Linked DNA regions of Anolis sagrei. Each later gene encodes a partner of the first gene's protein in a complex. Links are inferred from orthologs where the notes say so. Each region holds a gene or a part of one and is shown on either strand. Other genes may lie near its edges.

Evidence for each region.
Region 2: CYFIP1 (region 1) and EIF4E share a complex: the UniProt entries of both Homo sapiens proteins name them as parts of the CYFIP1-EIF4E-FMR1 complex. The link is inferred for Anolis sagrei from reciprocal best matches to the Homo sapiens genes CYFIP1 and EIF4E.
Region 3: CYFIP1 (region 1) and ABI1 share a complex: the UniProt entries of both Homo sapiens proteins name them as parts of the WAVE2 complex. The link is inferred for Anolis sagrei from reciprocal best matches to the Homo sapiens genes CYFIP1 and ABI1.

The regions. Positions count from the first base shown.
Region 1 is NC_090023.1:99,881,093-99,888,937, reverse strand, and holds the start of CYFIP1 (cytoplasmic FMR1-interacting protein 1), read right to left. Parts: upstream 3,449-7,845; 5' UTR 3,149-3,448; intron 1-3,148. UniProt on the Homo sapiens protein: Component of the CYFIP1-EIF4E-FMR1 complex which binds to the mRNA cap and mediates translational repression. In the CYFIP1-EIF4E-FMR1 complex this subunit is an adapter between EIF4E and FMR1.
Region 2 is NC_090025.1:26,053,483-26,061,959, reverse strand, and holds the start of EIF4E (eukaryotic translation initiation factor 4E), read left to right. Parts: upstream 1-5,403; 5' UTR 5,404-5,473; coding exon 5,474-5,491; intron 5,492-8,477. UniProt on the Homo sapiens protein: Acts in the cytoplasm to initiate and regulate protein synthesis and is required in the nucleus for export of a subset of mRNAs from the nucleus to the cytoplasm which promotes processes such as RNA capping, processing and splicing.
Region 3 is NC_090026.1:110,125,852-110,133,621, reverse strand, and holds the start of ABI1 (abl interactor 1), read left to right. Parts: upstream 1-4,656; 5' UTR 4,657-4,892; coding exon 4,893-5,009; intron 5,010-7,770. UniProt on the Homo sapiens protein: May act in negative regulation of cell growth and transformation by interacting with nonreceptor tyrosine kinases ABL1 and/or ABL2. May play a role in regulation of EGF-induced Erk pathway activation. Involved in cytoskeletal reorganization and EGFR signaling.

The DNA.
Region 1 (7,845 bases):
TGCAGGAGTCTACCGTATACTATGCAGCTGTGGACAAGTCTACATAGGGACCACCAAATGCAGTGCCCAACCTGGGATCAAGAAATATGGAAGGCACTGCAGACTAATTCAATCTGAGAAGTCAGCCGATGAACCAACTTATTATTTGAGAACACAGAAATGCTGGACCACTCTAACAACTACCAAGTCAGGCTACACAGAGAGGCCACTCTGAAATCCACAAGCATGTGGACAATTTCAACAGAAAGAAGTAAACCATGAAAATGAATAAAATTTAGCTATTTTAAAAAACTCTAAAAGCAGGACAGTAAATAAAGAGCAACACTAAAAAAAAATCATCAGAGCCAGCTAACACCTCCCAAAAAAGGATTCCCCAAAGGCAGGAAGCAGCCAGGCTTTGAAGCTACAAGGCCATTAAATGCTAATCAAGGTGGCCAATTGCAACATTCATGCTTGCCTCAAGCAGACAAGAGTTGTTCTCCCACCCTGGACATTATTCCACAGATATATACACCTCACTTGCCTAGTTTCCAACAGACCTCTCAACTTCTAAGGATGCCTGCCACAGATGTGGGCGAAACGTCAGGAGAATGATTCTGGAACATATGGCCATACAGAGAAACATCTCTCCACTTTAGCAACACCAATCCTAATATCACTTAACTGCAATACTCTAGACTGGCTTGCACAGCCTGCACCCCTCCAAATATTTTCGACTTCGGATCCCATAATTCCTGACCATTGGACATGCTGGCTAGGGCTTCTGGGAGTTTGAGGTCCAAACATCTGAAGGGCCACAAGTTATGCAGGCCTGCTTCATACCAAAGCTAGGCAGAGTGGTCCATGGGTTACTTGCAATTCTACAACTTTTCCCAAACTTCCCAGCTCTCCATAGAATATTTGTTTAAAAAATATGATTGTTGTCTGTTACTAAAATTTGGTGCACATTGTTAAATTCAGTTCCAATCAATTCCTTTTATTTCTCATAGCCTTGTTAATTCAATTGAACTTAATTAGATTTGAGGTTGGGAGAGATTTTAAGTACCAGTATGAATGCCTATTTGTTAATAAGTAAAAAAATTTTAAGGGTTTAATGACAATTTAATTAATTCCACTCTATATTTCTTAGGCAGATATTACAATTTATTTTCAACTCCAAAAACCTCTTTTAAAACCAAAACAATGTCGAAACAGTAAACTGCGCATCCTTCAAGCATTTGGGCCCTGGACTATTTCTGTTCTAAATTAGTTTGTCCTAAGAGACAGTATATATTCCACACTTTCTAAAGCGTGTGGCTCTCTCTATCCTAAATTAATACTTAGTGTACCTGAGATTTATGGTGCCCAGATCAAATATTTCAATATAATATTATGCCAGTGTTAGTATTAAGATGGTGTTCCCTGATGGCGCAGTGAGTTAAACCATTGAGCAGCTGAACTTGCCGACTTTCAGGTTGGCAGTTCAAATCCAGGGAGCGGGGTGAGCTCCCGCTGTTAGCCCCAGCTTCTGCCAACCTATTAGTTTGAAAACATGCAAATGTGAGTAGGTCACTAGGTATCGCTTCTGAAGGAAAGTAACGGCACTCCATGCAGTCATGCTGGCCTTGGAGGTGTCTACGGACAACGCCGGCTCTTTGGCTTAGAAATGGAGATGAGCACCACCCCTCAGAGTCTGACACAACTAGACTTAATGTCAGGGGAAACCTTTACCTTTACTTAGTATTAAGATGGCAACACTTAACCAAACTGTATTTTTAAAAATGCCTACTGCTCAAATGTCTATGAGAAATAGACATATTTCTTGAAAATGAATTTTAAAAGGCTCCCTTCCGCATACCACACCAAACTGCTTAAAACTGATTAGCTGCCTTTTAATTAGCTCAGTCGCAATCCTATGCATATTTATGGAAATGAGTTCTACTGAGTACACTTAGATCTTCCTTCTAAATAATAATTTTTCGATTATATGTGGCTAAAAAGAAACATACTGCGAAGTTACTAGCACATATCCCAAATCCTTTACTGCATTAGGTCATGTTATCCAAAGATCAATGTCACCCATCTTTTCAGATCAAGTGGGGGGGGGGGGTGTATATATCTGTGGGAGAAAGAAAACTTGTGTTTGAGGCAGGTGTGAATGTTGCAACTGGCCACTTAGCATTGAATAGCCTTGCAGCTTCAAAGCCTGCCTGCTTCCTCCATGGGGGAATACTTTGTTGGGAGGTGTTATTTCCCCACGCAGGAAGCAGCCAGGCTCTGAAGCTCAAGGCTATTCAATGCTAACTGGCATTGCATGGCCTTGCAGCTCCAAAGCCTGGCTGCTTCCTGCCTGGGGGAATCCTTTGTTGGGAGGTGCTATTCCTCCAGGCAGGAAGCAGCCAGGCTTTGGAGCTCAAGGCTATTCAATGCTAACTGGCCAACTGCAACATTCACACCTGCCTCAAGCAGACAAGAGTTCTTTCCCCCACCCTGGACATTCCACAGATATAGAAACTTCACTTGCCTAGTTTCCAACAGACTTCACAACCTCTGAGGATGTGGGCAAAATGTCAGGAGAGAGTGCTTCTGGAATATATGGCCATACAGGCCAGAAAACTCACAACAATCCTAACTTCGATTTCCCCATGAAATCCACAGATCCAGAGGCTACTTGCAAGGCACATACAGTCCTACACTCATCTAAGGTTCACCCAGATTTGAGCTGCATCTATATTCTATAATCAATGCAGTTTGACACCACTTTAACTGCCAGGCCTGGAGGCTATGGGGTCCTGGGAGCTGTAGTTTAGTGAGGCACCTGCACTTTGGGACAGAGAAGGTCAAAGATTTTGTGAAAATCCTCTAGCTTTGAGCCCTGGCTGCTGAAGGGGTATCAAACCGCGTTAATTCTACCGTGTGGCCTCAGGCAGACACGCCCGGGTCTCCTTCCTTCCTTTCTCTGAGGCGCCCGCTGGAGGGAAGTTGGAGTCTCAAGGCCCGCCCGCCCGGCCTCCCTCCTCCGTTTAGGCCGCAGCTGGGCAAGCCTTCCCTTTTCCCCGGCCTCCGACCCGACCCCACGCCTGCACAGCCAGGCGCCCAACCCCGTCCTCACAGGCCCCAGCCCGGAACAGCAGGCGGGCGCCAAGCGGGAGAAGAAGGGTCCTCTCACCCAGCAGCCGCCTCCTCGCCAGGCCCGGCGCCCGCCTTCCTCTCCCTCTCCCTCTCTCTCTCCGCGGGTCCAGGCTCCACTCCTTCGCGGGCCGAAGAAGAGGAGGAGGAGGAAGCGGAGGGGGTCTGCTCTCCTTGGCCCGGGCCACTTCCCTTGCCTCGCAGGCCCGCCGCGCACGAAGCTGGGAGTTTCCTGTCTGAGTCACTCCAAACAGACTCGCCAGGAAACACCCTTCCTCCTTCCCAACTCCAGCTCCTCCTCCTCCGTCCCAAACTCCTGCCCAGCCTCCTCAAGGAAGGAAGGAGGGAGGGAGGGAGAAGGGAAGGAAGTGAATGAGAGGAAGGGCAGAAGGGTGAGAGAGGGAAAGGGAGGAAAGAAGTGAGGAGGAAGAACGGAAGAGGGAGAGAGAGAAAGAAAGAAAGGGAAGAAGGGGAGAGGGGGGAAGAAAGGAAAGAAGTGAGGAGAAAGAACCAAAGAAAGGGAGGGAGATAAAGAAGGCGGGGACGAAGGAAAGAAGTGAGGAGAAAGAACCGAAGGGAGGGAGAGAAAGAAGAAGAAAGTGAAGAAGGAAAGAAGGGAGGGAGAGAAAGAAGAAGAAAGTGAAGAAGGAAAGAAGGGAGGAGAAAAGAACTCAAGGGAGAGAGGAAAAAAGAGAAGAAGAAAGGGAAGAAGAGGAGAGGAAGGAAAGAAATGAAGAGAAAGAACCGAAGGATGGGAGTGAGAGAAAGAAGAAAAGGAGGAAGGGGAGAGGAAGGAAGGAAAGAAAGAATGAAGGAGAAAGAACTGGAGGGAGGATAGAAGGGAGGAAGGGGAGAAGAAGCAAGGGAGGAAAGGTGGTGAAAGAACTGAAGGGAGGGAGGGAGAAGGAAGGGAGAAAGGGGGGAGGAAAGAAATCAGGAGAAAGAACTGAAAGAAGGAAAGGAGGGAGAGAAAGAAGAAAGGTAGAGAGGGGAGAGGAAGTAAGGAGAAAGAATTTAAGGGGAGATGGAAGGAAGGAAGGGGCGAGAAAAAGGAAAGAATGAAGAGAAAGAACCGAAAGGAGATAGAAAGGACAGAAGGGAGGAAAGAGAGAGAAAAATAACGAAGGGGGGGGGGACATAAGAGAGGAAAAGAACAGAAGGAAGAGAGATTAAGGAAAGAGAGAAGAAATAAAGGAAGGAAGGGGAGGAATAGACAGAAGGAATTTAGAGAGACAGTACAAGGATGGAAGAGAGAAAGGAAGGAAAAAAGTGAAGAGAAAAAAGAAGGGGGAGAGAGAAAGGACATAAGGAAGGGAAAAGGGAAGAGAGAAAGACTGAAGGAAAGCAAGAGTGGAAGGAAGATGGTAAGAAAGGAAAAGAATGAAAGGAAATGAGAGGAAAGAAGGGAAGAGACTGAAAGAGCAGAAGGGAGAAGGAGAGAAGAAATGGAAGGGAAATATTGAATGAATGGAAGGAAGGGGAAGAATGGACAGAAGAAATTGAGAAAGGACAGAATGATGAAATAGAGAAAGGAAAGAAAGAACTGAGAAGAACAGAAGAGAGATTAAAGGAAGGAAGAGAGAGGGGGTCCTTCCACACAGCCCTATATCCCAGAATATCAAGGCAGAAAATCCCACAATATCTGCTTTGAACTGGAATATATGGCAGTGTGGACTCAGATAACCCAGTTCAAAGTAGATATTGTGGGATTTTCTGCCTTGATATTCTGAATTATAGGACTGTGTGGAAGGGCCTGGAGAGAAAGGAAGAAGTGAAGAGGAAAAAAAAACCAAAGGGGGAAAGGACAGAAGAAAGGGGAAAAGGGAAGAGAGAAAGAATGAAAGGAGGAAAGCGAGAGAGGAAGGAAGAAGGGAAGCGAGAAAAGAACGAAAGGGGGGAAGTGAAGGCCCTTCCACACAGCCATATAACCCAGAATATCAAGGCAGATAACCCACAATATCTGCTTTGAACTGGGTTGTCTGAGTCCATATTGCCATATATTCCAGTTCATTGTGGATTTTATCATGTGTGTAGAAGGGGTCTCAAAGAGGAAGAAGGGAAGAAAGGAAAAGATCAGGAGAGAGGAAGGATGGGAGAGGGAAAGAGAAAAGAAATGGAAGGGTGAGAAAGGAAGAAAATGAAAGGGAGAGAGAAAAAGTGAAAAGGAGGGAGGGGGGGTAGGGAAGAGAAAGAAGAGTCAAAAGAAAGGAAGAGGTCTGCCTATTTGACTTGCCTGCCAAGGAATTCCCATCTTTTCCTTCTTAACCAGGGCATTCTCTACTAGGTTCACACCATTTTGCAGCCCGTGCATCCCGTCCCAACCAATACATCAGTATCAGCACCCCCTTTGTCTCCAAAATTGGGACCCTAAGCAGCTCAGAATTTAAGAGAATACATTTAAAAACATGTTGAAACATTAAAATAAAATCAGACTACTTACAATATCAAAACAGTTCACACCTAAATCTAAAAGGCAATCAAAATAGATCAAAGGCTCTTTTGATCCGTACAGCAGCCCCTTCCCTTCAATGGATGTACAGGACAGAATTTCAGCAGAAGGTGCCGTGGTGACAAGCAACATCAGGCGTCCATCTCTCTTTTCAGGCTGTCCGCTAGGAGAGAGTCTGGCAATTATTTCCCCAAATATACCAGGGACTGGCACTACATTTTTGTCTATTGGGTACAACTGCTTTTCTTTCCTGGAAACTGTCCAGAGATCAGCAGCCAATGAGTCAGAGCCCAACACTGCTTTGAGTAGCATTGTCTTACATAACCATTAAAGGGCCAGTGTGTCATTGTGGTTTGAGTGTTGGATTACAACCCTGGAGAATAAGGTTCGAATCCCAGTTTAACCATGAAAATCTACTTATCCAGAAAACCCTGTGGGTCTTCATCAGTCAGAAATGATGTGAAGGCACATAACAGCAAGCTCTGTCCCTTATTTCACCTGGCTACCCAAGTTCCACTATAAAGTGGAGGAATGTTGCAGGAAAAAATGCTAATTGTATGCTAATATGAAGACAATCTTGAGATCTATTTTCTGTTGCAAACAAAAGGAAAGAAGTGCCCTGTTATGATGCAAATGCCTTGAACCGGTTGGCATGAGGGACTACCCAATGTATAATAGATTGCTCTTTAAGCCTATGAACATGTTCATCATTTTTCTCCAAACGACTGAAAGTGTACATTTTTGCACTTGCATATTATTGTACGAGGGGCGTTCATTAAAGATTTCCCCTGAGCCACTTCCTGTGGACTGAGAGCAATAAAACTTGGCACAGTTATTAGTTTTTTCTCATAGGTGTCTCCCATCTTGTTAAGCAACTGTAAACACCTCGCTTGTAGAAGTTGACAGATTGCTCCAAAAGCCACATTGTGACTTTGGAAATAAGAGTCTCGTCATCTGCAAAATGCTTGCCCTTCAAAAATAAATTCATTGTTGGAAAGAGGTGGAAATCCGATGGTGTGAGGTCTAGTGAATGTGGTAGAATTTCAAAGCCACAGGAGCATGCTTCTTCCATTTGGGGTGAGAAGGGCGGGGTAGAAGTAACTGAAATAAATAAATAAATAATAAGTGCATTGTCTTGCAGAAAGTGGACGCCTTTGGTGACATGCCACATCTCTTGGTTTTGATGGCCTCCTGCAATTTCTGTAGCAGTCTCTTGGTTTTGATGGCCTCCTGCAATTTCCGCAGCAATGAAGCATAGTATGCCTCAGTGATCATGGTACCCTTTGCTACGAAATGCATCAGTACTACTCCATGCTGGTCCCAAAATACTGTGAGCATGACCTTGCTTGCTGAAAGTTGGGCACATGCCTTCTTTGGAGGCGGTGAGTCATGATGCTTCCATTGCATTGACTGGACTTTAGTCTCAGGATCATAGTAATGGATCAAGCTTTCATCCTGTGTAATCAATCTGCTAAAAAGTCCTCCTGGTTTCCATGGCACGTTGTCAAAAGAACCTGAAAGCATTCGACTCATTTCTGCTTCTGGAAAGGTGTGAGCAGCCGGGGAACCCAGCAAGCACATATCTTATAAATGTGAAGATTGTCTTGGATTATTTTTTCCATGGATCCCATACTAATGTTGACATTTTGGGCTAGGTGGAGAATGGTTATGAGGCAATTTTCCAAAATGGTGACCTTAACTTGCTGGATAGTGTGTTCATCAATAGCACAGTGGGGTTGCTCTGGAATTGGAGCTGTTTGCACCGAAGTCTGACCACACTGGAATTGACAATGCAGTTCTTTACTAGATCATATGATGGGGAATCATCACCATAAACCTCTTTCATCTCATCGAATGTCTCCTTTGGTGTGCGACATTTCAAATAAAAGAACTTGATGACTGCTCTGTATTCCACTGGATCCATTATCAAACATCACACCACTTCAGCACCTGTAAAAAAAAGACCGTTATCAGTTCTGCGTTGTAAATTGGCACGTAACCTATAGAAACTTAAATCATTATACATGTGCAGTTTCAAAGTCCTGTGATAAATATAAGCAGGTCAGGGGAAATCTTTAATGAACACCCTTCATATGCCTACCAAATCCTTGGTCTAAAGGCCCAAGAAATCTCAGAATGATTCTGGAAAAAACCAGTAAAATTTACTAAACTTTCAGCCAAATACTAAATAATAGACTGGGATCAATGAAGATAAATAAGGCATGTTGTTAAAAAAATCTACTTTAAACTAATATACTTTTTAAAAAAGTAATTTATTTACAACTCAT
Region 2 (8,477 bases), on another chromosome or scaffold:
CATAAACAACAAGCACCCTGTGTTTATGGTAGAACAACAAAAATCACAAAATCCTATGGCTAGGTTATATTAAGATGAAGCACACGGTGACTCTGTGCAATAACAGATGCTGACAATAAACACAATGATCAGGCCTTTAAGCTTTTTGATAAAAACAGCACATATTTCTTGAAATCAAGGAGGGAAACATGTAGGAGTACAGCTTCTAGCGGCTATAGCCAGCATTGACAATACTGCAGAATGCTGTGAGCTGCAGTCCATTCCTTTTTTGGCGTCTCATGATTCCCAACTTCGTCCCAAATCCAGTTGCTCGTGTGAACTTCAATAGACTCCGTTAAGTAATTGGATTTATATAAATGTTGACATGTAATTTAGGGTCACCTTTATTGAGCCAATCCAAAAGCATAAAAATATTTGATGCAAGACAACAGGAAATGAGAGAAATCTACTTCTAGGAAGGGAAATTCACTCCTGAAAGAGTTATCATGGGGGAAAGGTGTCTCCACTGAAGCTTTATCACCACTCCTTGTTTCTACAACAAGCCAAATTTTTTAAAATACAATTATCACAGGGATGGAAAGTGAGGTGAAATCTGAACAGGAGCACAGACAGCAAAACAAATGCCACAGGATGTTAACCATTCCCTATGCTAGCCAAAGCTTTTAGATAGATAGATGATAGGTAGATATATCTATTGAGCCCCCTGTGGCACAGTGGGTTAAGCAGCTGAGTGCTGAACTTGCTAACCAAAAGGTTGGCAATTCGAATCTGGGTAGTGGGGTGAGTTCCCACTGTTAGCCCCAATTTCCACCATCCTAGCAGTTTGAAAATATGCAAATGTGAGTCTATCAATAGGTATCACTCCGGCGAGAAGGAAATGGCACTCCATGCACTCATGCTGGCCACATGACCTTGGAGACATCTATGGACAGCGCCGGCTCTTCAGCTTAGAAAAGGAGATGAGCACCACCACCATCCCGCTGCCAAGTCGGACATGATTAGACTTAATGTGAAGGGGAAGCCTTTACCTTTATACTCTCTCTCTCTCTCTCTCTCTCTATATATATATATATATGAGGCCACAGAGTGAAGAGGGGGCAGCCAGAAAAAGGGGGAAGCTCCACCATGTCTCGCCCACCACCAGTTGGGATTGAGCCCTGGAACTGAGGGAAAGACAAGTAGCTAGAGGGTCACAAGGGCTAGTAACCCAGATGATACTGCTGCAAAATTTAATTGCTAAATTACCGAAGTCAGAATATTATCCAAAGTTAAGCTATTCAGACAGAAATGCAAAAGAATAACACAGGATCATATATTTTGAGAAATGGTAGATTTGCATGAGGCTGAAAATAGTGGATCTACAACAAATCAGATAAAGGTAAAGACTTCCCCTTGACATTATGTCTAGTAATGTCCAACTCTGGGGTGTGACTGCTCAACTCAATTTTTGAGTCAAAGAGCCAGCGTTGTCCGTAGATGCCTCCAAGGTCATGTGGCCGGCATGCCTGTACGGAGTGCCGTTACCAAGCGCTGTTACCTTGCCGCTGGAGCAGTACCTATTGGTCTACTCACGTTTGCATGTTTTCGAACTACTAGGTTGGCAGAAGCTGGGACTAACAGCAGAATCTCACCCTGCCCCCTGGATTCAAACCGCTAAACTTTCGGTCAGCAAGTTCAACAGCTCAGCGATTTAACCTGCTGCGCCACCAAGTGCTCCAAAGGAATACAGGAAAGGAATATAAATATAATTGGAGTTATACTGAAAAATGAACCTGTTCCAACTTGCATACGAACTTAAGAACAAACCTACAGAACCTATCTTGTTTGTTGCCTGTACTTTTGGATTTTGCTGCATCCCTCACTATATAATTTTTCTTGTACCGTTCAGCTGTTGATTGAGTGGGTCTGATCTACTCTTCAGGGCATCTTAACCTTGTATATATAGGTAGAATCAAACACAATAAATCAGTATTTGCAAGCTTTGAGGAACAGGCTGGGTTTCCTTTTCGTGGACTGCATCTGAAGTATTTTCTGCAAAGGGTTGCTATGAGTTTTCCAGGCTGTATGGCCATGTTCCAGAAGCATTCTCTACTGATGTTTCAGCCACATCTATGGCAGGCATCCTCAGAGGTTTTGAGGCCTGTGGAAAACTAGGCAAGTGATGTTTACATATCTGTGGAAGGTCCAATTTGGGAGAAAGAACTCTTGTCTGTTTAAAGTGTTAATGTTGCAATTAATCTACTTGATTCGCATTTAAAAGCCTTGCATTTTCTGCAGAGTTAATGTCATGGATAAATAGGATATATGGTGTGAATGGAATTCATAGAATCATAGAATCGAGTTGGAAGAGACCTCAAGGGCCATCCAGTCCAACGCCATGCCAAGAAGTAGGAAAATCGCATTCAAAGCAGTCTCAGCAGATGGCCATCCAGCCTCAGCTTAAAAGCCTCCACCACACTCCAAGGTAGAGAGTTCCACTGCTGAACAGCTCTCACAGTCAGGAAGTTCTTCCTAATGTTCAGGTGGAATCTCCTTTCCTGTTTTGTTGTTTATTCATTCAGTCGCTTCCTACTCTTCCTGACCTTATGGACCAGCCCACGCCAGAGCTGCCTGTCGGCTGTCACCACCCCCAGCTCCTTCAAGGTCAGTCCAGTCACTTCAAGGATGCCATCCATCCATCTTGCCCTTGGTCGGCCCCTCTTCCTTTTGCCTTCCACTTTCCCCAGCATAATTGTCTTCTCTGGGCTTTGCTGTCTCCTCATGATGTGCCAAAGTACTTCAACTTTGTCTCTAGTATCCTTCCATCCAATAAGCAGTTGGGCTTTATTTCCTGGAGGATGGACTGGTTGGATCTTCTCGCAGTCCAAGGCACTCTCAGAACTTTCCTCCAACACCACAGTTCAAAAGCATCTATCTTCCTTCGCTCAGCCTTCCCTAAGGTCCAGCTCTCACATCTGTAGGTGACTACAGGGAATACCATGGCTTTGACTAGGGAGATATTTGTTGTCAGTGTGATGTCTCTACTCTTTACTATTTTATCGAGATTGGACATTGCTCTCCTCCCAAGAAGTAAGCGTCTTCTGATTTCCTGGCCATAGTCTGCATCTGCAGTAATCTTTGTGCCTAGAAATACAAAGTCTGTCACGGCCTCCACAATTTCTCCCTCTATTTTCCAGTTGTCAATCATTCTTGTTGCCATAATCTTGGGTTTTTTTTATGTTTAGCTGCAACCCAGCTTTTGCGCTTTCTTCTTTCACCTAGTGCTTTAAATCTGTTTAAATCTTATGTATCCCAATCTTGAACCAGTCTGTTCCTTTCCTGTAGTTTGTTTGAAAGGAGTATGAATGAGGCCTAACTGGGCTGAAGGCACTATTCTAAAATATTGCCTGGGCACACTTGGGCCCTCCCTCCAGGTGTTTTGGACTTCAACTCCCACAATTCCTAACAGCCTACCGGCTAGGTTCTTGTAGGTTTTTTCAGGCTATCGGGCCATGTTCTAGAGGCATTTCTCCTGACGTTTCGCCTGCATCTATGGCAAGCATCCTCAGAGGTAGTGAGGTCTGTTGGAATTAGGACAATGGGTTTATATATCTGTGGAATGGCTGGGGTGGGGCAAAGAGCTCTCTGTTGAAGCTAGGTGTGAATGTTTCAGCTGACCACCTTCATTAGCATTTGAAAGCCTGGCTGCGCCTGGGAAAATGTTCTGTTGAGAGGTGTTAAGATGTGCCTGGTTGTTTCCTCTCTGCTGTTTTGCTGTTGCAATTTTCAAGTTTTTTAATACTGGTCGCCAGATTTTGTTCATTTTCATGGTCTCCTCCTTTCTGTTGAAATTGTCCACATGCTTGTGGATTTCAATGGCTTCTCTGTGTAGTCTGACATGGTGGTTGTTGGAGTGGTCCAGCATTTCTGTGTTCTCAAATAATATGCTGTGTCCAGGCTGGTTCATCAGGTGCTCTGCTATGGCTGACTTCTCTGGTTGAAGTAGTCTGCAGTGCCTTTCATGTTCCTTGATGCGTGTCTGGGCGCTGCGTTTGGTGGTCCCTATGTAGACTTGTCCACAGCTGCATGGTATATGGTACACTCCTGCAGAGGTGAGAGGATCCCTCTTGTCCTTTGCTGAACATAGCATTTGTTGGATTTTCTTGGTGGGTTTGTAGATTGTTTGTATGTTGTGTTTCCTCATCAGCTTCCCTATGCGGTCAGTGGTTCCCTTGATGTATGGCAGGAACACTTTTCCTCTGGGTGGATCTTCATCTTGACTCTCATGGCTTGTTCTTGGTCTTGCAGCTCTTCTGATGTCTGAGGTGGAATATCCATTGGCCTGTAGAGCCCAGTTGAGGTGGTTCAGTTCATCTTGGAGGAGGTGGGGTTCGCAGATTCTTTTTGCACAGTCTGCCAAGGCTTTAATGGTGCTTCTTTTTTGACTTGGGTGATAGTTGGAGTTTTTATGTAGATATCTATCTGTGTGTGTGGGTTTTCTGTAAACGGTGTGACCCAATTGTTGATCTGGTTTACGGATGACTAGGACATCTAGAAAAGTCAGTCCTCCTTCCTTTTCTTTTTCCATAGTGAACTGGATGTTAGGGTGGATGCTGTTAAGATGTTCCAGGAACCTGTTGAGTTCTTCTTCTCCATGGCTCCAAATGGTGAAAGTGTCATCCACATATCTGAACCATATAGTGGGCTTTTTAGTTGCTGTTTCAAGAGCTTGTTTTTCAAAGCGTTCCATGTAGAAGTTAGCTATAACTGGGCTGAGAGGGCTCCCCATAGCTACTCCATCTTTCTGTTCGTAGAATTCATTGTCCCACTGAAAATATCTGGTGGTGAGGCAATGGTGAAACAGCGCCGTGATGTCTTCTGGGAACCTCTGGTTGATGAGTGCCATGGTGTCTGCAACTGGGACCATGGTAAATAGAGACACCACATCGAAGCTGATCAGTTTGTCATTTGTATTTAGCTTGAGATTGCTGATTTTTTCAATGAAGTGGGCCGAGTCCTTGATGTAGTGTGTTAGGCTGTTAGGAATTGTGGGAGTTGAAGTCCAAAACACCTGGAGGGAGGGCCCAAGTGTGCCCAGGCCTGGTGCAGTTGAGGCCTGTCTTTGGGGGCGAGGTGGTCTCTCGGGGGACGACGACGGTGAGGGGCAGGCCTTGCATCACACATGCTGACAGACACACCCCTGAGTGACGAAAGCCCGGCCTCCTCCTTTCCTTTCCTTCCTCGCCGCCTCAGCGTGACAGGCCCACGCCTGCCTCTCCCACGTGACCTGAAGAGGCTGGGAAGGCGAGGAGAGAAAAAAAATACACCGGGGACTACACTTCCCAGAAGGCGCCGCTCTCCCCCCTCCCCCCGCGCACGCGCCGAGCCGCCCAAACCGCCGCCGCCTCCACGTGACCCGCGGGCAGCCAATCAGCTTCGAACCTGGCTCGTTTCCCCCCTCCCCTCCGCGCTTGGGCGAGCAGAGCGATCTAAGATGGCGACGGTGGAACCGGTGAGTGTCCTCCTCGCCTCGCGTTGTGCGGCTTCCCTTCCCCCTTTCCCCCTCTTTTGAGTCCTTTAAAAGAAATCTTTAAATGTCTCGTCATGATTAAAAGGCGGTGGAAGGAGGGAGAGGAGGGGAATTAGTCAAGGGAGGGAAAAAGAGAGTGAGTGTATGACTGTGAGTGAGTGTGTGGCGCGCGCATGTACGGCAAGCGAAAGGGGCCGGCGTGCGCGAGGGCGAGACGCTTCGCGGGAAGGAAGGGAGGGAGGGAGGGAGGGGGTGAAGGAGGAGGAGGAGGCCGGGTGGGTTTTGATCGGAGCGCGCGAGGGATTGTGGCGTCACAACTTGGGCGGGGGCAGCGAGGGGAGGGGTCGCGTGGCGAGAAAGAGAGGAGAAGGAAGGCCACATAGGCCTGCTCGTTTGAGAGACCACTCGCTATGGCCTTTTCTCTAGATTGGCCCATCTCTTCTCGCCTACTTTGAGAGCCCACCCCTTCCCATGCTTATAGTATAGCACTAGATATAAATTATAACATTGGGGGAGAGCTGGGCGGCCTTTGCCTTTTCTCTGCCCCTCCCAGTCCCCCTTTTCCTTCTGCTTTTGAGGTCCAGACCACTCTCCTTTGAAGCCTCTCTTTTTCTCCCCACTTTTGAGGAAAATTCATATTACAAATATTAAACATTGCTGTAGTCTCCTTTACTTCCTGTATTTCCCCACCTCCCATCTCTTTTTCTTCTATTTAAGAGACCCACTGGTTTGAGGAGCCAGCACTCATCAGTATAAAGACAGAAGAATTAGACCCAACCACTCACCATAACTTTAGGATAAAGATATAGATATTAGCCCCACATCCTTATAGGCCAAGAAGAGCCTGCTCTGGGGCTTCTCTGGCTTTTGCTCATTTCTACTTAAAAGATTCAGTAGTTTAAGAGGGAACTACTCACCATTACTTCATTATAAAGATATAGATATTAGCCCTACGTCCTTATAGGTTGAGAAGAGCCTGCTCCGGGGCTTTTCTGGCTTTTGATCATTTCTTCTACTTAAAAGATTCAGTTGTTTGAGGGGTGACTACTCACCATTACTCCAGGATAAAGATATAGATATTAGCCCCACGTCTATATAGGCTGAGAAGAGCGTGCTCTAGGACTTTTCTGGCTTTTGCTCATTTCTACTTAAAAGATTCAGTAGTTTGAAGGGTGACTACTCACCATTACTTTAGTATAAAGATATAGATATTAGCCCCACGTCCTTATAGGCTGAGGGGAGCCTGCTCTGGGACTTTTCTGGCTTATGCCAGACTGCTCACCATTACTTCAGTATTTAAATATTAGCCCCACGTCTATATAGGCTTAGGGGAGCCTGCTCTGGGCTTTTCTGGCTTTTACTCATTTCTTCTACTTAAAAGATTTAGTAATTTGAAGGGTGACTACTCACCATTACTTTAGTATAAAGATATAGATATTAGCCCCACGTCCTTATAGGCTGAGAAGAGCCTGCTCTGGGGCTTTTCTGGCTTTTGCTCATTTCTACTTAAAAGATTCAGTAGTTTGAAGGGTGACTACTCACCATTATTTCAGTATAGAGATATAGATATTAGCCCCTCATCCATATAGGCTGAGGGGAGCCTGCTCTGGGACTTTTCTGGTTTTGCTCATTTCTTCTACTTAAAAGATTCAATAGTTTGAGGGGCGACTACTCGCCATTACTCCAGGATAAAGGTATAGATATTAGCCCCACATCCATATAGGCTGAGGGGAGACTGCTCTGGGACTTTTCTGGCATATGCCAGACTACTCACCATTACTTCAGTATAAAGATAAAGATATTCGCCTCATGTCTATATAGGCTGAGAAAAGCCTGCTTTGGGATTTTTCTGGCTTATGCTAGACTACTCACCATTACTTCAGTATAAAGATATAGATATTAGCCCCATGTCCATATAGGCAGAGGGGAGCCTGCTCTGGGCTTTTCTGGCTTTTGCTCATTTCTTCTACTTAAAAGATTCAGTGTTTTGAAGGGAGGCTACTCACCATTACTTCAGTATAAAGATATAGATATTGGCCCCACATCCATATAGGCTGAGAAGAGCCTGCTCTGGGACTTTTCTGGCTTATGCTCATTTCTTCTACTTACAAGAATCAGTAATTTGAAGGGTGATTACTCAGTATTACTCCAGGATATAGATATTAGCCCCACATCCATACAGGCTGAGAGGAGCCTGCTCTAGGGCTTGTCTGGTTTTTCCTCATTTCTTCTACTTGAAATACCCATTAATTTGAGGGCCAACAACTCACAATTCTTTCACACACACAAATATTTGAGTCTTTTGTGTATCTGTATATAACAGTGGTCCACATTATTATAGGCAAAAGAGGAACCATCCATCTCTTCCCCTTATGACACCCAGTTGTTTGAGGAGCAACCATTCACCATCCTATATATATGTTAGGTCCACATCCTTATAAGCAAAGGGAACCTCCTCTAGGGCTTGTCTGGCCTTTTTTCGTCTGTTTTCTTCTACTTTAAGAGACTCAGCAGTTTGAAGGTTTGGCAGTTCAGTCACTATTACTTCAATATACTGGTGATAAAAAAATAACATTGGTCCACATCATAACAGGCCAAGGAGTTTGGGTGTCCTTTCCTTTTGTCTCTTCTCTCCCTCACCCCAACATCCTTTTTCTTCTGCTTACCAGGTACAAGATTATCTAGAGACATTATCTTCCTTTTCTTATTTTTCCTTTCTTCTCCCCAACTTTTCAGTCTGGCCTAAGGAAACCTAATCATCACCTGGTCTGTAGATTGCGATCATTTTTTCCTTATCTTAAAAATCAACTTGTTCTCCCCCCCCCCCCCCCACACACCTTTTTCACATCCTCAGCTATTTTTGGTCTCTTCTGGTTTTTCCTTCAGTCTCTAGTAAAAGACGTGCGACAATGGGGCACTCTTTGGGATCAGAGGTGAAAAACGACCATTCAGATTTTTGTGATCTAAT
Region 3 (7,770 bases), on another chromosome or scaffold:
TTTATTTCTACTCCTTTTGCATTGGCTGCCACTCCTTCCCTTTTACTGACCACTGCATATGTTCTGTATCAGAAACTAGAACTGATGTGGTCTATCCAATGCCATTTTCCAAATCAGCACCCAAAACTGAATCTAAAGTTGATCAAAAACTGATTCATAACCCTTTTGGTATTGATGTTGAAGAGTGGTCCCTAGTCAAAGTAGTCCCTGGTTTAAAAAAAAGGTTTGGGAACCACTGATCTAAGGCCAGAAATTAGACAAGTTATACCTGGGAAGTGTAGTTCACAGATTTTTTCCAAGGTCTGCTCTCATCCCTAGCAATAAAAATAGAAAAAGTAAACAATCTGCTTCTTTTTCATGAAAGTGATACACAAAATCGGCTATGGAAAGCAGATTGTCCATTCTGGATGTGTCTGGATTGTAGAATGAATACAGGTTGACATCACTTTAACTGCCGTGGCTCAATCATGGGAATTTGGCAGAGAAAACAAGAGACATTGTAAAACTACATTTCCCATGATTCAATTGAATTAAACTATGGCTGTTAAAGTAGAGTTGAACCGCATTAATTCTATAGTGTATATACTATAATGTTGAATAAAAGGGTCAGGCCTGCTAGAATTAGCACTTTTTGCTGGCTTTTCAGTTGACCTTTAAGAGCAGTTCTTTCAACAGTGATGTGATTTGGAAGAATTGGCAAATAAGCTTCTCATTATGCAGAGATAAACGTTATAACTCACCATCTACTCACTAGAACCCGAAATTCAGCAATTTAATCCATAGATCTTCCACTAGTTCAATAAAGTGGATGAATGTTTCTCCACCAACACAATGAAATTCGAAATTCAGTTTTGTTTCAGATCTGTAACCTCCAGGAGAGTACATTGTGATCTTTTGCACATGTTATAACCATCTTTGCCATTGGCCCTAATTGGCATTCTCGCTGGAGTCTTCTGCAGGAAAGAAAAAAAAGCTGAGGATTCTGGGAATGCCTTGAAAGGGAATGTCCCGTCATGATCCCTTTGATGTTCTTTCCATATGAAAATCAATCAGCATGAAGCCATAAGCAAAGCAGATGGCAAGGCTTCAGAATCAAGGCTTCCATCCTAAAATGCATTTGTGCCAGTCATGGGGTTACAGCCCCGGTAACATGATAAATAAGTGTTTGGAGGAGGAAAGAGATGCTTTACTGCAAACTCTATGAACAAAATTATGAATGTTGGCATCCGGTGTGGGTATTCTAACCTTAAACATTATAGCATTGATTCTGCCCTTTACATTTCTGGGGGAGAAAGGACTAAAAATGCGGCTTCAGTATCTGCACTATTTTTGTCATCTAATTACTGCATTTTATTTAAGATTAATGCGATACATATTTCATTTTTAGGTGTACTAGCAGATCATGTTCCCGAAGAAACATATATGGGCTAAAAGTATTTGCCTGCATTACATATACCATGGAAATGAGTAAGATTGCATAAAAACTGTATCAAAATCAAAGGAATATTTAATAATAATAAAACTTTATTTATATACCACTCTATCTCCCCTGGGGGACTTAGGGCAGTTTCCAAATTGTAAAAACACAAATCCATACAGAGTAAGCAAAAAACAAACAAACAAAAACAGACCAACACATACGCATAAAACAGTCAAACAACACATGTACAATAAAACCAATCAACCTTATTCTTCATACTAGGATTAACTATTAGGGCCAAGCAATCTTTTTGTGGACTGAAACCAAACTAGAAATGGATGTATCTGGAATTTTTCCACTCAGTCCTCAAGAGAGTGATCTCTGGAACAAGTCCAATTTGGGATAGTTTGATATTCTTATTTGGCATGTAGAATAATAGAATTATAGAATCATAGAGTTGGAAGAGACCTTGTGTGCCATCTAGTCCAACCCCCTGCCAAGGAGCAGGAAAATTGCATTCAAAGCACCCCGACAGATGGCCATCCAACCTCTCAGCTCAGGTCCTCCCTCTTTAAAGATTTCAGAAGGGATCCCATCAGGTCTGCTGGCTTTGTTATTTTTTGTTGGTTGATGACATTGCTGACTTCTTCCAAACTAGGCAGTGCTGCAAACTCATCCCTGATTTGTGGGAGAACCTCTTTGGCCACATTCGAGCTGCGGTTCTGGAGGCTTTGGTAGTGTTCTTTCCAACGTAGTGCAATTGATTTTTGGTCCTTCAGGAGTTTGGTTCCATCTGATGAGCGTAGAGGCTGTATGCCATGGTTTCTTGGTCCATAGATGACCTTTGTGGCTGTGAAAAATCCCTGAGCATCACGGGTATCTGCCAGGTGTTGGATTTCTTCAGCCTTCTTTGTCCATGAGATGTTCTTAAGTTCTCTTGTCCTTCTTTGGATCTTAGTTTTTGCACTGGTGTAGATCTTTTTCTTATGGGTCTCCATGGCTTTGACTAGGCGGATCTTTGTTGCCAGTGTGATGTCTCTACTCTTTACTATTTTATTGAGGTTGGACCTTGCTCTCCTCCCAAGAAGTAAGGGTCTTCTGATTTCCTGGCCACAGTAATCTTTGCACCTAGAAATACAAAGTCTGTCACAGCCTCCACATTTTCTCCCTCTATTTTCCAGTTGTCAATCATTCTTGTTGCCATAATCTTGTTTTTTTTTTTTTAATGTTTAGCTGCAACCCAGCTTTTGTGCTGGGCTACACTGACCATGCAGACTGTGGCCAGGAAATCAGAAGACGCTTACTTCTTGGGAGGAGAGCAATGTCCAGTCTCGATAAAATAGTAAAGAGTAGAGACATCAGACTGGCAACAAAGATCCGCCTAGTCAAAGCCATGGTATTCCCTGTAGTCACCTACGGATGTGAGAGCTGGACCTTAGGGAAGGCTGAGCGAAGGAAGATAGGATGCTTTTGAACTGTGGTGCTGAAGGAAAGTTCTGAGAGTGCCTTGGACTGCGAGAAGATCCAACCAGTCCATCCTCCAGGAAATAAAGCCCGACTGCTCATTGGAGGGAAGGATACTAGGGACAAAGTTGAAGTACTTTGGCCACATCATGAGTGTCATGCGTTAGCATGAGTAGCATGCAGATTGACTCTAGCCCAGTTAACTGTGTGTGTGATGAATTGGCTCTTAAAAGAAAAACACATGAGTAGAAAAGAAAAATATTGTAGTATTGGCAGCATACAAAACAAAATAGCAGGATTGCTGTTTCCACAAAAGTAACATGAAACAATATCTTCTGAGAGATATCATTACTCAGCTGTGATAAGCAGGAATCCTTGTCCTCTTCCCATGGCTGTGTCTTCGCAGGACATCTGCAGCATAGTCCCTGGCTTACACAAGGCAGAATGGCACAGAGGCATAGATGCACAATGGCAAAGAAGCTAAACACACAGTAGCTATCTTTATACACATGAAAATAATACTCTCAATTAACTCTTCAATTAACTCAAACAGCTGTAGCACAAACAGCCTTGAACTTTACAGCAACTTAAAGTTATAGCACAAACAACATTGATCCTTACAACAACTTAGATAAAGTACGTTACAACCTCTTAGTAGCAACAATGAGGAGACAGCAAAGCCTAGAGAAGACAATTATGCTGGGGAAAGTGGAAGGCAAAAGGAAGAGGGGCCGACCAAGGGCAAGATGGATGGATGGCATCCTTGAAGTGACTGGACTGACCTTGAAGGAGCTGGGGGTGGTGACGGCCGACAGGGAGCTCTGGCGTGGACTGGTCCGTGAGGTCACGAAGAGTCGGAGATGACTGAACGAATGAACAACAACAAGTGAGACTCTACTGTATCATCTGCATATCTAAGGTTGCTAATGTTTCGTCCAGCAATGTTAACTCCAGCCTTGGATTCATCAAGTCCCGCACGTCGCATGATGTCTTCTGCATACAAGCAGAATAGGTTGGGTGAGGGCAGGGCCGTAGCCAGAAAAAAATTTCGGGGAGGGTTGACAATTTCGGGGGAGGGGGGGTTGAAAATTTCGGGGAGGGTTGAAAATTTTGGCAGGGGGGAGGGGTGAAACCTGCCTCCTAGCTCACGCTGAAGCAAAGAGTACAGCAGGGGGCAGAGCAACCTTCAATAGCCTGCAGCTCCACCCCTGTCAACCAACTCCACCAAATCTGGCCTTCTTAATGAGAGCATTCAACACATAAACCCCCAACTTGGTTGCTTCACTACATCAGGTATTGCTGCAAGTAATGACAGTGTGAGTAAATTGTCAATATTTGCTTGAGATAGTGCTTACAATTCTGGAGGGACTCTTAATTTTTTGCATCTCATAGACTTAGCATGGGGATTTGGTTAACCAATTAAAATTCATGAGTAAATCAGGTTTTTTAAAAAAATCTGAAACATTTCGGGGGGGGATTGAACCCCTAAAACCACCCCCTCGCTACAGGCCTGGGTGAGGGTACCCTGCCTTGCTGTACTGGGCTACACTGACCATATAGTCCACTTTCAAATTGCATGATATGCCAGTGTTGATACTCCCAGGTTCCTATTGACAGGACAACTTTTCCCCTCCTAGAACCAGTGCAGCTGAACCCAAGGGATGGACAGCAACAGAGAAGCACTTTCTGGCCAGGAAGGAAGCCTTGTGAACTACACCTCCCAGCGTGCCTTGCGAGCGCCTTTTCCTGTGAAGGAGGAGGGGGAGGAAGAGAAGGAGGAGGAAAGGAAGGAAAAAAAAAAGCCCAAGGCGAGGAGGGAGTGTGGGTGGGGAAAGCGACGCCTCTGTTCTCCTTCCTTCCTTCCTTCTTCCTCTCTCTCTCTCCTTCTCTTGAGGCTCAGGCGGCATCTCCCCCCTCGCCATAACCGAGAAGGCAGCGAGAGAGCGGGGTCTGGGGTCTGGGCGCCTGTCTCTGGAAGGGAGAAGGGAGCGATGCGGAGGGGAGGAAAATGGCAGAGCTGCAGATGTTACTAGAGGAGGAAATCCCTTCTGGGAAGCGGGCTTTGCTCGAGAGCTACCAGAACCTCACCAGGGTCGCCGACTACTGCGAAAACAACTACATCCAGGTAAGAAGGGAGAGCCAAGGAGGGAGGGAGGGAGGCAGGCTCGCCTTGGAAGGGGCCAAGACCCACGCCTGCCTTCATTTCCTTCCTTCCTTCTTGCTCGCCTCCATGGCAGGAGGAGGAAGAAGGGGGGAAGGAGCCACTCGCCTTACAGGAAGTGGGCAAGGGCTCTTGCAAAGGGAGGAAGGCCAGCCAGGCCTTCCTCCCTTTGCAAGAGCCCTTGCCCACTTCCAATGGGTGCATTGTGACCCCACTTTGAGTTGTCAGGATTCAATGCTAGGAGTTGTAGTGGACAGACTTTTATGGAACTACCACTCTCAGGTTTCCATAGCCTTGAGCCTCAACAACCACAGTGGTGTCAAACTGTGTTTGCTGGACAGTGTTTTTGTTTGTTTGGTTGCATGAGGAAGAATTTGCAGACTGTGAGATCCGTTCAGCAGTGGAACTCTCTGCCCCGGAGTGTGGTGGAGGCTCCTTCTTTGGAAGCTTTTAAGCAGAGGCTGGATGGCCATCTGTCAGAGGTGATTTGAATGCAATATTCCTGCTTCTTGGCAGAATGGAGTTGGACTGGATGGCCCATGAGGTCTCTTCCAACTCTTTGATTCTATGATTCTATGCTGCAAGTCGCTTCTGGTGTTAGACAATCAGCCGTCTACAAAGACGTCACCCAAGGGATGCGTTTTTTAAATACATTACAGTTGTATCCTCAGTTTGCTTCTGATACGATAAATAAATGGACAGTGTAAATCAGGCATGGGCACACTTCAGCCCTCCAGGTGTCTTGGACTTCAGTTCCCAGGAATCCTAGTGTTGGACTGCAATGCCCACCGGCTGTTAGGAATTGTGGGAGTTGAAGTTCAAAACACCTGGAGGGCCAAAGTTTGCCCATAGAATCATAGAATCAAAGAGTTGGAAGAGACCTCATGGGCCATCCAGTCCAACCCCATTCTGCCAAGAAGCAGGAATATTGCGTTCAAATCACCCCTGACAGATGGCCCTCCAGCCTCTGTTTAAAAGCTTCCAAAGAAGGAGCCTCCACCACACTCCGGGGCAGAGAGTTCCACTGCTGAATGGCTCTCACAGTCAGAAAGTTCTTCCTCGTGTTCAGATGGAATCTCCTCTCTTGTAATTTGAAGCCATTGTTCCGTGTCCTAGTCTCCAAGGAAGCAGAAAACAAGCTTGCTCCGTCCTCCCTGTGGCTTCCTCTCACATATTTATACATGTCTATCATATCTCCTCTCAGCCTTCTCTTCTTCAGGTTAAACATGCTTGTTCTCCAGACTCTTGATCATTTTAGTCGCTCTCCTCTGGACACATTCCAGCTTGTCAATATCTCTCTTGAATTGTCGTGCCCAGAATTGGACACAATATTCCATGCCTGGTATAGATGCACCCTAAGGTGGACCAGACCAGGGGTGCAGCCTACATGGTAGAAGTACTGGGGTTCCACACCACTTGAACTGCTATGGCTCAACGCTATGGAATTGTGTGTGTTGTCATCTGGTGAGGCTATAGAATTCTTTGGCAGGGAAGACTAAGGACCTTGTAAATCTACAATTCATAGAATTCAATAGCACTGAGCCATGGCAGTTTTATTATGCTTTTAAAGTAATTACGTTGTTTTAATTTACTTACTTTTGGTTAGTAATAATAATGATAATGATAATCTTTATTTATCCCAACACCATCTCCCAAAACGGAACGAGGGCAGTTTACAAGGCACTTTTTTTTGTCGTGTCAGGAGTGACTTGAGAAACAAGGCACTACAAATGTAGTATATTATATAAAAGGTACATGGGTATAAAAACAATATAGCACAACAATTATAATAACAACCACTATTAACACATAAAATAAAATATAACACAGTTTAAAATGCAGAACATTTGTAGTTAAAACTAGCAGCCTTCAAATCACAATTACAGTGCCAAAGTGTCAACCTCATATGGGCCCATTTCAGCCTACTCAAGGCCAAAAGCCTGCTTAAAAATCAATGTTTTTAGGCTGGATCGGAAAGAGTCAAGGGTGGGGGCTAACCTAATATCTTTTGAGAGGGTATTCCAGAGCCAGGGAGCCACTACTGAGAAGGTCCTCTCTCTCATCCCCACCAACCATGCTTGAGACGGAGTCCCCGGTGGCGCAGTGGGTTAAACCCCTGTGCCGGAAGGACTGAAGACCTGCAGGTCACAGGTTCGAATCTGGAGAGAGGCGGATGAGCTCCCTCTATCAGCTCCAGCTCCTCATGCGGGGACATGAGAGAAGCCTCCCACAAGGATGACAAAAACATCAAATCATCCAGGCATCCCCTGGGCAACGTCCTTGCAGACGGCCAATTCTCTCACACCAGAAGCAACTTGCAGTTTCTCAAGTCGCTCCTGACATGACAAAGAAAATGCTTGAGACAGTAGTGGAACCGAGAAAAGGGCCTCCCTTGCTGATCTCAAAGCCCACGCTGGTTCACAGAAAGAGATGAAGGACCCAAAGCATATGTGGCTTTGTAGGTAATAACTTGCATCTTGAAATGAGCCCAGAAAATTGTCGGAATCCAGAGGAGCTGCTTGGGTATGTTCCCTATAGCTAGCTCCAATTAGTAAGCTTATAAGTTTATATTGATGTTGTTTCATTCATTGGTTCAATTTGGTTTTGTTTTCATTATGGCATTGAATGCTTGCCATTTTTTTGTTTGGAAACCGCCCTGAGTCCCCTCGGGGAGATAGGGCGGGTTATAAATAAAGTTTTATTATTACTATTATGGCAGTCCAAG